2 linked regions of the Struthio camelus genome follow. The protein of the gene in region 1 purifies or fractionates together with the protein of each later gene. This does not show direct contact. Links are inferred from orthologs where the notes say so. Each region holds a gene or a part of one and is shown on either strand. Other genes may lie near its edges.

What was found.
Region 2: the proteins of PPP6R2 (region 1) and ANKRD52 purify together in Homo sapiens (affinity purification with mass spectrometry; 3 studies listed by BioGRID and IntAct, counting the BioPlex papers as one, with this or other methods). This does not show direct contact. The link is inferred for Struthio camelus from reciprocal best matches to the Homo sapiens genes PPP6R2 and ANKRD52.

Annotation. Positions count from the first base shown.
Region 1 is NC_090942.1:1,008,249-1,015,766, forward strand, and holds the start of PPP6R2 (serine/threonine-protein phosphatase 6 regulatory subunit 2), read right to left. Parts: upstream 3,018-7,518; 5' UTR 2,864-3,017; intron 1-2,863. UniProt on the Homo sapiens protein: Regulatory subunit of protein phosphatase 6 (PP6). May function as a scaffolding PP6 subunit. Involved in the PP6-mediated dephosphorylation of NFKBIE opposing its degradation in response to TNF-alpha.
Region 2 is NC_090969.1:486,720-493,934, forward strand, and holds the start of ANKRD52 (serine/threonine-protein phosphatase 6 regulatory ankyrin repeat subunit C), read left to right. Parts: upstream 1-4,203; 5' UTR 4,204-4,260; coding exon 4,261-4,287; intron 4,288-7,215. Other genes in the region: COQ10A (coenzyme Q-binding protein COQ10 homolog A, mitochondrial), read right to left, coding at 1,666-1,745. UniProt on the Homo sapiens protein: Putative regulatory subunit of protein phosphatase 6 (PP6) that may be involved in the recognition of phosphoprotein substrates.

The sequences.
Region 1 (7,518 bases):
AAGAAAACTGAAAAACTGATTGAGAAGAGCAGGGTTAAGGTCTAGCAAAACAACAAGAATTCCTACAAGTATACCTCAAAGTTCTCAAAAGATTCCATCAACTACTTAGCTCTTGATTTACTCTCAACTTGACCTCCTCTAGTTTTCCTGCACCATTTATATCCAAGTTTCCCAGTTATTCTTGTCATTCTACTATTGTTTCAGAAGTGTTTACTATAACAAGATACTCTTCTATTTCTTGGCATTCCAGTTCACCCATTTTTTATGGCTGCCCTTATTACACTGTTCTAGTTACTGCCCTTCAGGCACTAACACTTTAGTCTCCAAGCCGCAGTGTTAAAAAAACGTACTACTTGATTGTGTGTGTGTGAAGCTATTTTCCCTAACATATAATCAGCAGTTTCTACCCTCACAGGTCTACAAATCTTATTAGCAGAGACAGAAAAGAAGAAAGCTCATCTTCCCTACCTCCTCCCCTGCCCAACTCTGTTCAGATGCATTACCTTTCTTCACTGAAGTTTGGTACTACTAATCCCCTACTGCATTGGGGGGGGGAGGGGGGGGCGGGCAGGGGAGGAAACAGTTTTGGTTTCTCTTTTGACACTTTAGCTGATGGCCAATAAAACTCAGGGGAAAATATGGAAGGAAGTGCTCCTTCCATGGAGGATGGAAAAATATGGCCAGTTAGCCTGGGATGTCTCCTTACGGAGGAAGGAGAGAAACACAGCTAAGTGATTCCTTCTTCTAGCTCAGGACTGTACTAACTGGGGATAGCAAGAATTTAATTCATTCCAGCTGACTCCCCATATGACCAATGAAGTATGAGTCACAAGTGGCAGGGGGAAACACAGACAGAAGGGCTGTCTATCCTTAACAGCTCTCCTGGTACCCCTTTTCAAAAGGCAACTTGCAAGGGTTTTTGAGCTTTCCTCCCAAGGCAGCACTGCATCTAACAGCCTATGCCACTAGTGACAACAGCCTGTAGTTTTCTAAAAATAATTTAGGCCCACAGAACAAGCAAGCTTGAATACCGTTAGAATAAAAACACTGTAAATTTTTAATCATAGTTTTCTCTTTATTATTCACTTTGATTCAATATCCTCCCATTTCTCAACCATGAACTTACAAATTCAACCTGTCCCTTCCACAAACAACTATAAATTCATCAAACATTGGGTAAAGAACGAAGACGCTTCAGTGCTCCCTCCCATCCCCTAAACAAGCGGTCGACATCAGTCACTTTTTCAAAGTTTCAAATCTGTAGGAATCTCGCAAAACCTCAGCACTTGTTTTCTGTACCACACCTCTGATACCATTCTGCTGCAGACTGAGCTTTTCCCAAAAGGCTTCTGCAGTGCCTCCAAATTCCCACAGTTCCTAGATCAGACACTGTCCTAGGTCCCAGAATTTGCAACTTAAGACAAAGAAAGTATAAAAGTCACCAGAAGTATATGCACGTCAAATACATGAAAACAAAGTAAGTTCTCAATTTCAAGCAATTTTTTCATGTCCAATCTTCACTCACCTTCTCCTGAGCAAGTCTTTACTGGGACCACTTAAGCTAGTACAGATCATGATCTGTTCCTATTGCATATTCCAAAATTTAACTTTCCTTACCATGCTATCACCCTCAGTTGCTATGGAAATTGTTATACTATCAGCTGTTGGATTTTTTTTTTAAACCACCAAAAGTAACTAGTTTGCCAAAATATTTTTAAGTGACAGAGTAATAGCAGAAGTCATAAATGTTTACTCCCTTGTCATTCTTAAAGCAGTGTTCTATCAAAAAAAGTCTGCTAGCTAGTGATTACATGCTTGGCTTCAAACACATGTGTAGCTCATAACAGGACTGAGTCTAAAAATTACAACTCTGTTCTATGTTTTTGATGGGGAAAATAAACTACACTATGGAAACAAGCTTCAGTCTTAAAAATAAGTCTTAAGCAGGAGATCAAGATAGGAAAAATACCTCAAGTCCTTCCAAGTTCTCTCAATTTCTCTTTTTCACTTCCTAGTTTTTTGGGGTTTTTTGTTTTTTTCTAAAGCTAGCACAAAACAAGGCCTTCAAATTAGGAAAGAAACCTCCATTAAAGCGGCCAAGAAAAAGCCTTCCTGTAAGATCATGTGCCGCAGTAATTCGATCTGCGGCTACAGCTCCTACCACAGTTTCCGCGCGTTAATACCACCAGCCCAGGACCCTTATTTCCACCGACCGCCCGGGCCGGAGCCCGCGGGGCCCCTGGGCTCAGGTGCGCGGCGCCGCCGCCGCCCCGCGGGTGCTGCCAAGCGGCGGCCGCGCGCGGGCCGCGGAACGGGCGAAGCCGCTGCGCCCCCTCAGCCGACCGCACCCGCTCAGCGGCGAACTCCTGACGGGCCCCGCGCTCCGGGGGGGGGGGGGGGGGGGGGGCGACCTCGGGGGCCGTTCACCCCAGAGGCGGCACCAAGCGACGCCCGGGAACTTCGGCAGGGCGCGGGGAAGGGGCCAGCGCAGCGGCCGGCGAAGGCGGAATCAAGAAGAGGGGCCCGGGCGACCAGCACCGCCCGGACCAAAAACAAATAAATACAGTAAAAACGCGGAGCAGGCGCAGCCGGACACGGCCTCCAGCCCAGGCAGCGCTCCGGGGCCGGGCGGCTCCGCGGGGCCCGGGCCGGCGGCGGCGCTGACAGGGCGGCAGGCCGCGCACCGCCTCCGCGCCGGGCCCAGCGCCGCGCCGCGCCGCAGGAAGCAGGAAGCGGCCGGTGGAGCGGAGCAGGCCGCGCCGAGCGCCCCGGCTCCGGCCCCGGAGGGCCGCGGCGGCGCGGGCCGCGGCGGCGGTGACAGCTCGGCGGCGGCGCGGTCGGCGGGCCCGGCCGCGGGTCTCACCTGCTGGCCGTCCGGCCTGGCCGTCCCCGTGGCGGCGGGGCCGCCGCCGCCGTGCGCTGCCTGGGCTGCGAGAGCCGGCGGGCCGAGGGCATGGGCCGCGGGCGGAGCGCGGGGCGCCGCGGCCGGGCTGCGCTGCGCTGACAGCGGCGGCGAGGCGGCGGCGAGCTGGCGGGCGCTCCGGCTGCCTCCAAAATGGCGGCGGCGCTGCCTGCCTACCCGAGGGCGGGGCGCGGCGGGGGGCGGGGCCGAGGGGGCACATGGGCGGGGGCGGGGCCTGGGCGGCGGGGCGGAGTCGGGGCGGGGGCGGCGCCAGCAGCCAGCCACGGGGACGGGGCAAGGCGGGACAGGTCACAGCCCCGGGGAGGGGGACAGGGCTTGGTGGGACATGTCACAGCCCTGGGGATGGTAGGACAGGGCTTGGTGGGACATGTCACAGCCCTGGGGATGGTGGGACAGGTCACAGCCCCGGGACGGGGACAGGGCTTGGTGGGACATGTCACAGCCCTGGGGACGGCGGGACAGGTCACAGCCCCCGGGGACGGGGACAGGGCTTGGTGGGACATGTCACAGCCCTGGGGATGGTGAGACAGCTCACAGCCCCCGGGGACGGGGACAGGGCTTGGTGGGACATGTCACAGCCCTGGGGATGGTGAGACAGCTCACAGCCCCCGGGGACGGGGACAGGGCTTGGTGGGACATGTCACAGCCCTGGGGATGGTGGGACAGGTCACAGCCCCGGGGAGGGGGACAGGGCTTGGTGGGACATGTCACAGCCCTGGGGATGGTGGGACAGGGCACAGCCCCCGGGGACGGGGACAGGGCTTGGTGGGACATGTCACAGTCCTGGGGATGGCGGGACAGGTCACAGCCCCGGGGAGGGGGACAGGGCTTGGTGGGACATGTCACAGCCCTGGGGATGGTAGGATAGGGCACAGCCCCCGGGGACGGGGACAGGGCTTGGTGGGACATGTCACAGCCCTGGGGATGGAGGGACAGGTCACAGCCCCGGGGACGGGGACAGGGCTTGGTGGGACATGTCACAGCCCTGGGGATGGTAGGACAGGGCACAGCCCCGGGGACGGGGACAGGGCTTGGTGGGACATGTCACAGCCCTGGGGATGGTAGGACAGGTCACAGCCCCCGGGGACGGGGACAGGGCTTGGTGGGACATGTCACAGCCCTGGGGATGGTAGGACAGGTCACAGCCCCTGGGGACGGGGACAGGGCTTGGTGGGACATGTCACAGCCCTGGGGATGGTGGGACAGGTCACAGCCCCCGGGGACGGGGACAGGGCTTGGTGGGACATGTCACAGCCCTGGGGATGGTGGGACAGGTCACAGCCCCCGGGGACGGGGACAGGGCTTGGTGGGACATGTCACAGCCCTGAGGATGGTAGGACAGGTCACAGCCCCCGGGGATGGGGACAGGGCTTGGTGGGACATGTCACAGCCCTGGGGATGGTAGGACAGGGCTTGGTGGGACATGTCACAGCCCTGGGGATGGTGGGACAGGTCACAGCCCCGGGGACGGGGACAGGGCTTGGTGGGACATGTCACAACCCTGGGGATGGTGGGACAGGTCACAGCCCCCGGGGACGGGGACAGGGCTTGGTGGGACATGTCACAGCCCTGGGGATGGTGGGACAGGTCACAGCCCCCGGGGACGGGGACAGGGCTTGGTGGGACATGTCACAGCCCTGGGGATGGTAGGACAGGTCACAGCCCCTGGGGACGGGGACAGGGCTTGGTGGGACATGTCACAGCCTGGGGATGGTGGGACAGGTCACAGCCCCCGGGGACGGGGACAGGGCTTGGTGGGACATGTCACAGCCCTGGGGATGGTGGGACAGGTCACAGCCCCGGGACGGGGACAGGGCTTGGTGGGACATGTCACAGCCCTGGGGATGGTAGGACAGGTCACAGCCCCGGGGAGGGGGACAGGGCTTGGTGGGACATGTCACAGCCCTGGGGATGGTGGGACAGGGCACAGCCCCCGGGGAGGGGGACAGGGCTTGGTGGGAAATGTCACAGCCCTGGGGATGGTGGGACAGGTCACAGCCCCCGGGGAGGGGGACAGGGCTTGGTGGGACATGTCACAGCCCTGAGGATGGTAGGACAGGTCACAGCCCCCGGGGATGGGGACAGGGCTTGGTGGGACATGTCACAGCCCTGGGGATGGTAGGACAGGGCTTGGTGGGACATGTCACAGCCCTGGGGATGGTGGGACAGGTCACAGCCCCGGGGACGGGGACAGGGCTTGGTGGGACATGTCACAGCCCTGGGGATGGTGGGACAGGTCACAGCCCCCAGGGACGGGGACAGGGCTTGGTGGGACATGTCACAGCCCTGGGGATGGTGGGACAGGTCACAGCCCCCGGGGACGGGGACAGGGCTTGGTGGGACATGTCACAGCCCTGGGGATGGTGGGACAGGTCACAGCCCCCGGGGAGGGGGACAGGGCTTGGTGGGACATGTCACAGCCCTGGGGATGGTGGGACAGGGCACAGCCCCGGGACGGGGACAGGGCTTGGTGGGACATGTCACAGCCCTGGGGATGGTGGGACAGGTCACAGCCCCTGGGGACGGGGACAGGGCTTGGTGGGACATGTCACAGCCCTGGGGATGGTGGGACAGGTCACAGCCCCCGGGGACGGGGACAGGGCTTGGTGGGACATGTCACAGCCCTGGGGATGGTGGGACAGGGCACAGCCCCGGGGACAGGGACAGGGCTTGGTGGGACATGTCACAGCCCTGGGGATGGTGGGACAGGTCACAGCCCCGGGGAGGGGGACAGGGCTTGGTGGGACATGTCACAGCCCTGGGGATGGTGGGACAGGTCACAGCCCCGGGGAGGGGGACAGGGCTTGGTGGGACATGTCACAGCCCTGGGGATGGTGGGACAGGGCACAGCCCCGGGGACGGGGACAGGGCTTGGTGGGACATGTCACAGCCCTGGGGATGGTGGGACAGGTCACAGCCCCCGGGGACGGGGACAGGGCTTGGTGGGACATGTCACAGCCCTGAGGATGGTAGGACAGGTCACAGCCCCCGGGGATGGGGACAGGGCTTGGTGGGACATGTCACAGCCCTGGGGATGGTAGGACAGGGCTTGGTGGGACATGTCACAGCCCTGGGGATGGTGGGACAGGTCACAGCCCCCGGGGACGGGGACAGGGCTTGGTGGGACATGTCACAGCCCTGGGGATGGTGGGACAGGTCACAGCCCCCGGGGACGGGGACAGGGCTTGGTGGGACATGTCACAGCCCTGGGGATGGTAGGACAGGTCACAGCCCCTGGGGACGGGGACAGGGCTTGGTGGGACATGTCACAGCCTGGGGATGGTGGGACAGGTCACAGCCCCCGGGGACGGGGACAGGGCTTGGTGGGACATGTCACAGCCCTGGGGATGGTGGGACAGGTCACAGCCCCGGGACGGGGACAGGGCTTGGTGGGACATGTCACAGCCCTGGGGATGGTAGGACAGGTCACAGCCCCCGGGGACGGGGACAGGGCTTGGTGGGACATGTCACAGCCCTGGGGATGGTGGGACAGGGCACAGCCCCCGGGGAGGGGGACAGGGCTTGGTGGGAAATGTCACAGCCCTGGGGATGGTGGGACAGGGCACAGCCCCGGGGACGGGGACAGGGCTTGGTGGGACATGTCACAGCCCTGGGGATAGCGGGACAGGTCACAGCCCCGGGGAGGGGGACAGGGCTTGGTGGGACATGTCACAGCCCTGGGGATGGCGGGACAGGGCACAGCCCCGGGGAGGGGGACAGGGCTTGGTGGGACATGTCACAGCCCTGGGGATGGTAGGACAGGTCACAGCCCCGGGGACGGGGACAGGGCTTGGTGGGACATGTCACAGCCCTGGGGATGGTGGGACAGGTCACAGCCCCCGGGGACGGGGACAGGGCTTGGTGGGACATGTCACAGCCCTGGGGATGGTAGGATAGGGCACAGCCCCCGGGGACGGGGACAGGGCTTGGTGGGACATGTCACAGCCCTGGGGATGGTAGGACAGGGCTTGGTGGGACATCTCACAGCCCTGGGGATGGTGGGACAGGGCACAGCCCCCGGGGACGGGGACAGGGCTTGGTGGGACATGTCACAGCCCTGGGGATGGTGGGACAGGTCACAGCCCCCGGGGAGGGGGACAGGGCTTGGTGGGACATGTCACAGCCCTGGGGATGGTAGGACAGGGCACAGCCCCCGGGACGGGGACAGGGCTTGGTGGGACATGTCACAGCCCTGGGGATGGTAGGACAGGGCACAGCCCCCGAGGACGGGGACAGGGCTTGGTGGGACATGTCACAGCCCTGGGGATGGTGGGACAGGGCACAGCCCCGGGGACGGGGACAGGGCTTGGTGGGACATGTCACAGCCCTGGGGATGGTGGGACAGGTCACAGCCCCCGGGGAGGGGGACAGGGCTTGGTGGGACATGTCACAGCCCTGGGGATGGTAGGACAGGGCACAGCCCCCGGGACGGGGACAGGGCTTGGTGGGACATGTCACAGCCCTGGGGATGGTAGGACAGGGCACAGCCCCCGGGGACGGGGACAGGGCTTGGTGGGACATGTCACAGCCCTGGGGATGGTGGGACAGGGCACAGCCCCGGGGACGGGGACAGGGCTTGGTGGGACATGTCACAG
Region 2 (7,215 bases), on another chromosome or scaffold:
GAGGAAGGGCTTTAAGGAAGGACCGACCCCGGGTGCAGCGCCCGGGTGGCACCCACGCGGCCCGACCGGCTTAAGCTTTGCAACAGCCATAACTGGAAGCGCTCTGGTGCCCGCTGGGACAGTGCGGGTATTTTTAGATGTGCCTGCAAACAGGTCACAGCAGCTCTCCCCCCAGGACTGGTGGCTCGGGGAGAAGGGCCTGCTTGTCCCAGGAGCTCCTGGACGGTCCTGCTTCGCGGAGAGGCGCCCAGAGTAGCCAGCGACCCGGGGGCCGGGTCAGAGCCCGGCCTGGCTTAGAGCCGGGCGAGCCCAGGTCGCGGAGGGCCCTGGCCCTCGGCTGAGCGGCCCCCGCGGGTCTCGGCCTCCGAGGAAAGCCGGGAACGCCTCGCTCCGAGGGGCAGCGCCAGGCGCCGCACGCGCGCCAGCAGCGCCGTCTCCTAAATCACCCCCTCAGCGCGATGCTGCCCCTGTTCCCCCGCCACAGATGCGGCTTTTGGCTCCGATCTGGCACAAGACGACGCGAGCGCGCCGGGACCGGGAGCTGCTCCCCGCGCCCAGCCCGGCGCCAGGCTCGGCGGGGACAGAGCGAGGTGGCACAAGGTCGCCTGCGCTCGCCAAAGCCTAAGCAAACCGCGGCATCTAGGAGCGACCGTGGGACGCAGCCGCCGTCGCTTCCTCCCCGCGCGCCGCCCCGCTCCCCGCTCCCGAAGGAAAGGCCAAGGCACGGGACCCGTCGGCCCCAGGGCCGGAGCCTCCCGCGCGCCCCGTCCTGCCTGCGGTCAGGGGCAGCGGATGGAGGGGGCGGAGGGCTGGACCCCCCCTCGGTGCCCCCCCAGACCCCCTCGGTGCCCTGTCCGGGTGTCCCCCCATCCTGCACACCCCGCTGCCCTCCCCCGGTACCCCCAGACCCTCCCCCCGGTGTCCCCATGTCCCGCACACCCCGGTGCCCCCATGTCCCGCACACCCCGGTGCCCCCCGACGCCCCCGGTGCCTCCATGTCCCACACACCCCGGTGCCCCCAGACCCCCTCCAGTGTCCCCATGTCCCGCACACCCCGGTGCCCCCCCCCGGCTGTCCCCGTGTCCCGCACACCCCGGTGAACCCCCCGGTACCCCCTGACGCCCCCGGTGTCCCCATGTCCCACACACCCCGGTGCCCCCCCGTCCCCGCACACCCCGGTGCCCCCCCCCCGGTGCCCCCTGACGCCCCCGGTGTCCCCAAGTCCCGCACACCCCGGTGACCCCCCCGGTGTCCCCCCGGCTGTCCCCGTGTCCCGCACACCCCGGTGCCCCCAGACCCCCCCGGTGCCCCCCCGGCTGTCCCCGTGTCCCGCACACCTCGCTGCCCCCCCGGTGCCCCGTCCGGGTGTCCCCGTGTCCTGCACACCCCGGTGCCCCCCCCGGCTGTCCCCGTGTCCCGCACACCCCGGTGCCCCCAGACCCCCCCGGTGCCCCCCCGGCTGTCCCCGTGTCTCGCACACCTCGCTGCCCCCCCGGTGCCCCGTCCGGGTGTCCCTCCAGCCCCGTCCGCCGCCGGGGGGCACCCAGGGCCCTGTCCGCGTCCCCGCCCGCCCGTCCCTGCCCCGGGGCCGCGGGTGACCTGCGGGCCGCCCGCTCCGCCCCGCTCCGCCCCGCTCCGCGCCGCCGGGCCCGGCCCGGTCCTCACCTGCCGGGCGGGGCCGCCCCGGCCCGCAGCCGCTGCCGCGTCCCGAGCTGCAGGGCGCCGCGGAGCCGCCTGGCCGCCATGACCGGACCGGACCGGACCGGACCGGACCGGACGGGGGGGGGGGCCGGGACGCGGCACCGCCACCCGCCCGCACCGGCTCCGCCGCCGCCGCCGTGACCTCTCACCCCGCCCGCGACGTCACCGCGTCGCCATAGAGCCCGCCGACGTCACGGCGCCGGGAGGGGGAGGGGGGCGGTGCCAGCGGGCACGGCCTCCCGCGCGGGGCACGGCGGGAGCTGTAGTCCCGCCGGCGCGGGGCACGATGGGGGATGTAGTCCCGGGACGCCATCACTGCCACCGGGGCCTGGAAGCAGCCGGGCCCCCCCGGCCCCCCCCGGTCCCTCGGCGCCAGCTCCGGGCCCCTCACGGCCGTCGCACCGAGCCTTGCCCGGCTCGGCGGGGGACAGGCCGGCGCGCGCTCCCCGCCGCACCTGCCTTTCCAAGAAAACGATTAGTTCGGCTGCTCCCCCTCCGGGGCTAGCGTTTCCCCGCAGCAAAACGTCAGCAGCTGCTCGTTGCAGCTTTCCGCCTCTGTCGTTTCACCTTGATTTCACTCTTAGCTAACGCGGGGCTAATTATTGCCAGTCCAAAAAAAACAAAAAAAAAAACCACCCTACGATAAAAATAGCCTCGCTAACGGTATCAGCAGCGCTCTCTCCAGCTCCTCCTCCTCCGAACTGGGGTCAACCGAGCCACCGGGCCCCGCCACCCCCGTGGCAGGCCACCCAGTTACGTCTCTGGATGTTATTTCAAGAGGCGCGGGCAGCAACTCCGTGCTTTGTCCCCAGGTATCGCCTCCCTTTCCAGGCAGGGCGACAGAGGAGGCAACAAACCAGAAATTCCCGGTACCTGCAGAAAACGCCGAGGCACCAAAGTTTTCTCCGTTTAAAGTTATTTCCAAGCAGGGGACGGACGCGGGCCAGGGAAGCAGCTACTGGGACCTGGCTGCTAACAGGTGCTGGCCGGCAGAGACCACCGGTCCCGGCGCGCCAGGCTCCAACTTCAGCTACCTTGCTGCCACCTGCAGCATCCTTCCAGGCAGGGCGCCGGCAGGGGGCTCGGCGCCCCTTTGCAGGCCGTGGGGTCCCCCGGCAGCGCTATCTGCACCCGCTGGGGAGGCATCTCCAGCGGTTAATACCCCCGGGCGACGGAGCAGCCGTGCTAGCTGCTGCACAACGTGGCCATCTCGGTAACGGGCCTCGCTTCCAGACGGTCACAAAGCAAAGGCCTGCTGCCCGAAGCAGGGCCGCCGAGCTCGCAGCCGGGAGCGCTGTACTCGGGACGGCGCGCTCGCGGGAACGGGCCCTGGAGCACCGAAGCGACCGTGCCAGCAGGCAGCGGCCAGACCAGGGGAAGAGGCAGGCCTGGCTCCTCGCTCCTCGGCCAGCAGTTTACTGCCTAGTTTCTTTTTGGGCGGGGGCCGAGAAGGGGGCCCGGTGGGGCCTTACACCGGGGCACCCGTGGGGCCGGCATCCCCCAGCCAAGGGGTCGTCCTGGGGCCGAGCGCCGTTGTCCCCTGGATTTTCCTTGGGACCTGCCCCCCCCATTCCCAGGGGTTCAGCAGGGCCCAGCACCCCATTCCTTGAGGCCCAGCACCCCATTCCTCGAGGCCCAGTGCCCCATTCCCAGGGGTCCAGCAGGGCCCAGCACCCCCAGCCCCTGGGCCCAGCACCCCGGTCCCCAGGACTCGGCGGGCCCAGCACCCCGGTCCCCAGGGGCCCAGCACCCCAGTCCCCAGGACTCGGCGGGCCCAGCACCCCGGTCCCCAGGGGTCCAGCAGGGCCCAGCACCCTGGTCCCCAGGACTCGGCGGGCCCAGCACCCCGGTCCCCAGGGGTCCAGCAGGGCCCAGCACCCCGGTCCCCAGGACTCGGCGGGTCCAGCACCCCGGTCCCCAGGGGTCCAGCAGGGCCCAGCACCCCGGTCCCCAGGACTCGGCGGGACCCAGCACCCCGGTCCCCAGGGGTCCAGCAGGGCCCAGCACCCCGGTCCCCAGGGGTCCAGCACCCCGGTCCCCAGGACTCGGCGGGCCCAGCACCCCGGTCCCCAGGGGCCCAGCAGGGCCCAGCACCCCGGTCCCCAGGGGTCCAGCACCCCGGTCCCCAGGACTCGGCGGGACCCAGCACCCCGGTCCCCAGGGGTCCAGCAGGGCCCAGCACCCCGGTCCCCAGGGGCCCAGCACCCCGGTCCCCAGGACTCGGCGGGCCCAGCACCCCGGTCCCCAGGGGCCCAGCACCCCGGTCCCCAGGACTCGGCGGGCCCAGCACCCCGGTCCCCAGGGGTCCAGCAGGGCCCAGCACCCCGGTCCCCAGGACTCGGCGGGCCCAGCACCCCGGTCCCCAGGACTCGGCGGGCCCAGCACCCTCCGCGGGTCCCGTCGCGGGGCCGCCCGGCCCGGCCCGGCCCGGCCCGGCGCGGCGGCCGCTCCCCCGGCGGTGGGCGGGCCCAGCCGCTCCCCGCCCCGCCAGCCGCCCGAGCCGGAGCCGCCGCGGCCGGAGCCCGATGCCGGGAGCTGGGCGCTGAGGGCGGCCCCGAGATGGGGATTCTCAGCATCACGGACCAGGTAGCGCCGCCGCCGCCGCCCGCCCGCCCGCGCCCGCCGCCGCCGCCCGCCCGCGCCCGGCCGCCCCGCCACGCCAGCCCGGGGATGCGCGGCCTAGCGCGGGCCGCCCCGCAGCCCGCGCGGGCCCGGCCGCCGCCCCAGGCCCCGCCGCCCCCGGCCCCGCCGCCCCCGGCCCCGCCGCCCGCGCCCACCTGCCCCCGCCGCCCCCCGGGCCCCCGCGCCGCGCTCCGCCGCCCGCCCGGCCCCGGCCCCGGCTCGGCCTCCTCGGGCGCCTCGGCCCGCGCGGGGCCCCCGGTGCGGCGGGTACGGCGGCCCCGGGCGCGGCGCCCCCCCGGGACGGCACCGTCTGCCCGCCGGGACGGGACCCCCTCCCCTCCCCCTAGGACGGGACCCGGACCCCCCGCCCCCAGGACGGGACCCCCCCCGGGCCCTGCTGGGATGGGACCCCCCCCCCCCAGCCCGGACACCCCCCCAGCCCCCGCCGGGACGGGACCCCCCCCCACTCGGACCACCCCCCCGGCCCTACCGGGATGGGACCCCCCCTGCCCTGACACCCCGCATGGACCCCCCCCCCAGTCCCCACCGGGATGGGACCCCCCCCAGACCACCTGCCCCCAGGACGGGACCCCCCCCCGGCCCTACCGGGATGGGACCCCCCCCCCGCCCTGACACCCCGCATGGACCCCCCCCCCAGTCCCCACCGGGATGGGACCCCCCCCAGACCACCTGCCCCCAGGATGGGACCCCCCCCCGGCCCTACCAGGATGGGACCCCCCGGGGGGACCTCCTGCCCAGACCCCCCACCCCCAGGATGGGACCCCCCACCTGGACCCCCCCCAGGGCCCCACAGGGATGGGACCTCCCCTACCCATGCAGACCCCCCCCCTGGCCCCACTGGGATGGGACCCCCCCGAGGGGACCCCTAGAGACGGGTCCCCCAGCTCCAGTGGGGCAGGATCCCCTGATCCGAGCCCCCCTGCTGCCCTGGGGAGTGGACCCCTGGGACAGGAGCCCTCTGCCCCACAGGGCCCCCTGAGAGCGACAGGATATCCCTGGGGATGGGACCCCCTGCCTGGGCACCCCTGCCCCACAGGGCCCAGACCCCTGCCCCAGGGTCTCCCCATCCCAAGAGCAATGGGATATCTTTGGGGATGGGACCCCCTTCCTGGGCACCCCTGCCCCACAGGGCCTGGATCCCCTGCCCCAGGGTCTCCCCATCCCAAGAGCAATGGGATATCTTTGGGGATGGGACCTTCTTCCTGGGCACCCCTGCCCCACAGGGCCTGGATCCCCACCCCAGGGTCTCCCCATCCCAAGAGCAACAGGATATCCATGGGGATGGGACCCCCCTGCCCCACAGGGCCCAGACCCCCACCCCAGGGTCTCCCCATCCCAAGAGCAACGGGATATCTCCGGGGATGGGACCCCCTTCCTGGGCACCCCCTGCCCCAAAGGAGGGAGGACCTCTGGGGACACCAGCCCCAGGGCCCCCTTGCCCCAAGGATCGCCGTGCTTTCTGTCCCAGCCCTGTCTGCATCCCCGTCGGGTTTTGGGGGCGCCGCTAGGGTGGCGGGTGTCATCAGAGCATGTTTCCATTGGCATGGGGCCCGTGCGCTGTTCCCCGCCTTGGGGCCCGCGTGTTGGACCCCACGATCCTGAGCGCCCTCGCGCTGCCTCCCCTCCGGCTAGGACCCTCTCCTGCAGCATGAACGCTGCTAGGCTGTTTGTCGTCCCCCTGCTGCCTAGACTTAATTTTTGTGCTGTATCCCCTAGACGGATGATGCCCAGCATCTTCTTAACTTCGTGCTCCCCACAGAAGTCTCCTTTTCCCCCCGCCCGTTTTACATAAATTGTCTTTATTCACCCTCACCAGTAGCGATCTGGGCTGCTGGCCTCTCAAAACCAAATATTTACGCCTGCCTCTGGTCCCTCACTCCTGTGCTATCATTAATACAGTGAATGTTTAAAGCCTCACGTGGTGGATGAAGAAGGGGAGGGGTGAGGAAGAGGGATTGATCTGTGATTTAAATAGAACTTTTTTTTTTTTTTTGGGTAACCAAAACATTTAGCTTTCCTTGTGAATGGTGGGTGGGTGTGTCAGACCCAGCACTGCTGCAAACCGCGCTCCGCTGAAGACTGCTCAGGGCATAATTATCGTCTGCGATTTTTTTTTTTTTTGAAAAACCTTTTTTTAAATGTCTAACGAGTGATGCTGAGTCTGCTGCATTCCATGGGAATGACTCACGCGTTCCCTCTGACCTGGGATGTGTTCCCCATATTTAACTGCTTTTACTTTGATGGTGGGGTGAGAAAGATGCGTGTGAGGATTGCTGGGTAGCAGGGACAGGAAGGGATTTCCTCGAAAATGAAGGTCTGTGGTTCCTTTGAGAAGCCAAGATGAGAAGCTTTGGCTGGTTTTGACCATTAGATCCAGCACTGGCTACGCGAACAGAGCTGGAGAAGCGGGTGCTGGAGGCTGGTGCGGCTCTGTCTTGCTTGCAGCACCCCCGAACGCGCTGTTCAGATCTGTGCAAGGAGCGGAGGCTGGCCTGCTGCTTTGCCCTGGGCAAGGAGGCGTGGGTTTTGGCCGTGATCGTGGGGTGCAGAGCACTGAAGGGATTTAGAGCAGCCGCAGTCTCTGCCCCGAAGATCTTGCAACATTAAAATGTAATTTCTAGGCCTGTGAAACAAGAAACAGGCTACTGGGTGCTCAGGCGATGCTCAGAGGTTGGGCGGCACCTGAACTTAATGCTGCTGCGAGCGATGCTTACCTGGCCTAGCACACACATCGTGCTCTGGGACAAGGTATGTTACCCCGGTGCAAAGACAGCAGAGAGGCTCTGTCTGTTCAGGACATCAGTTCTGCAGGCCACAGCAGTGGTTAACTTTATGACTTTGGCTAGAGCTTTGCTAATGTTTTTTTCACCA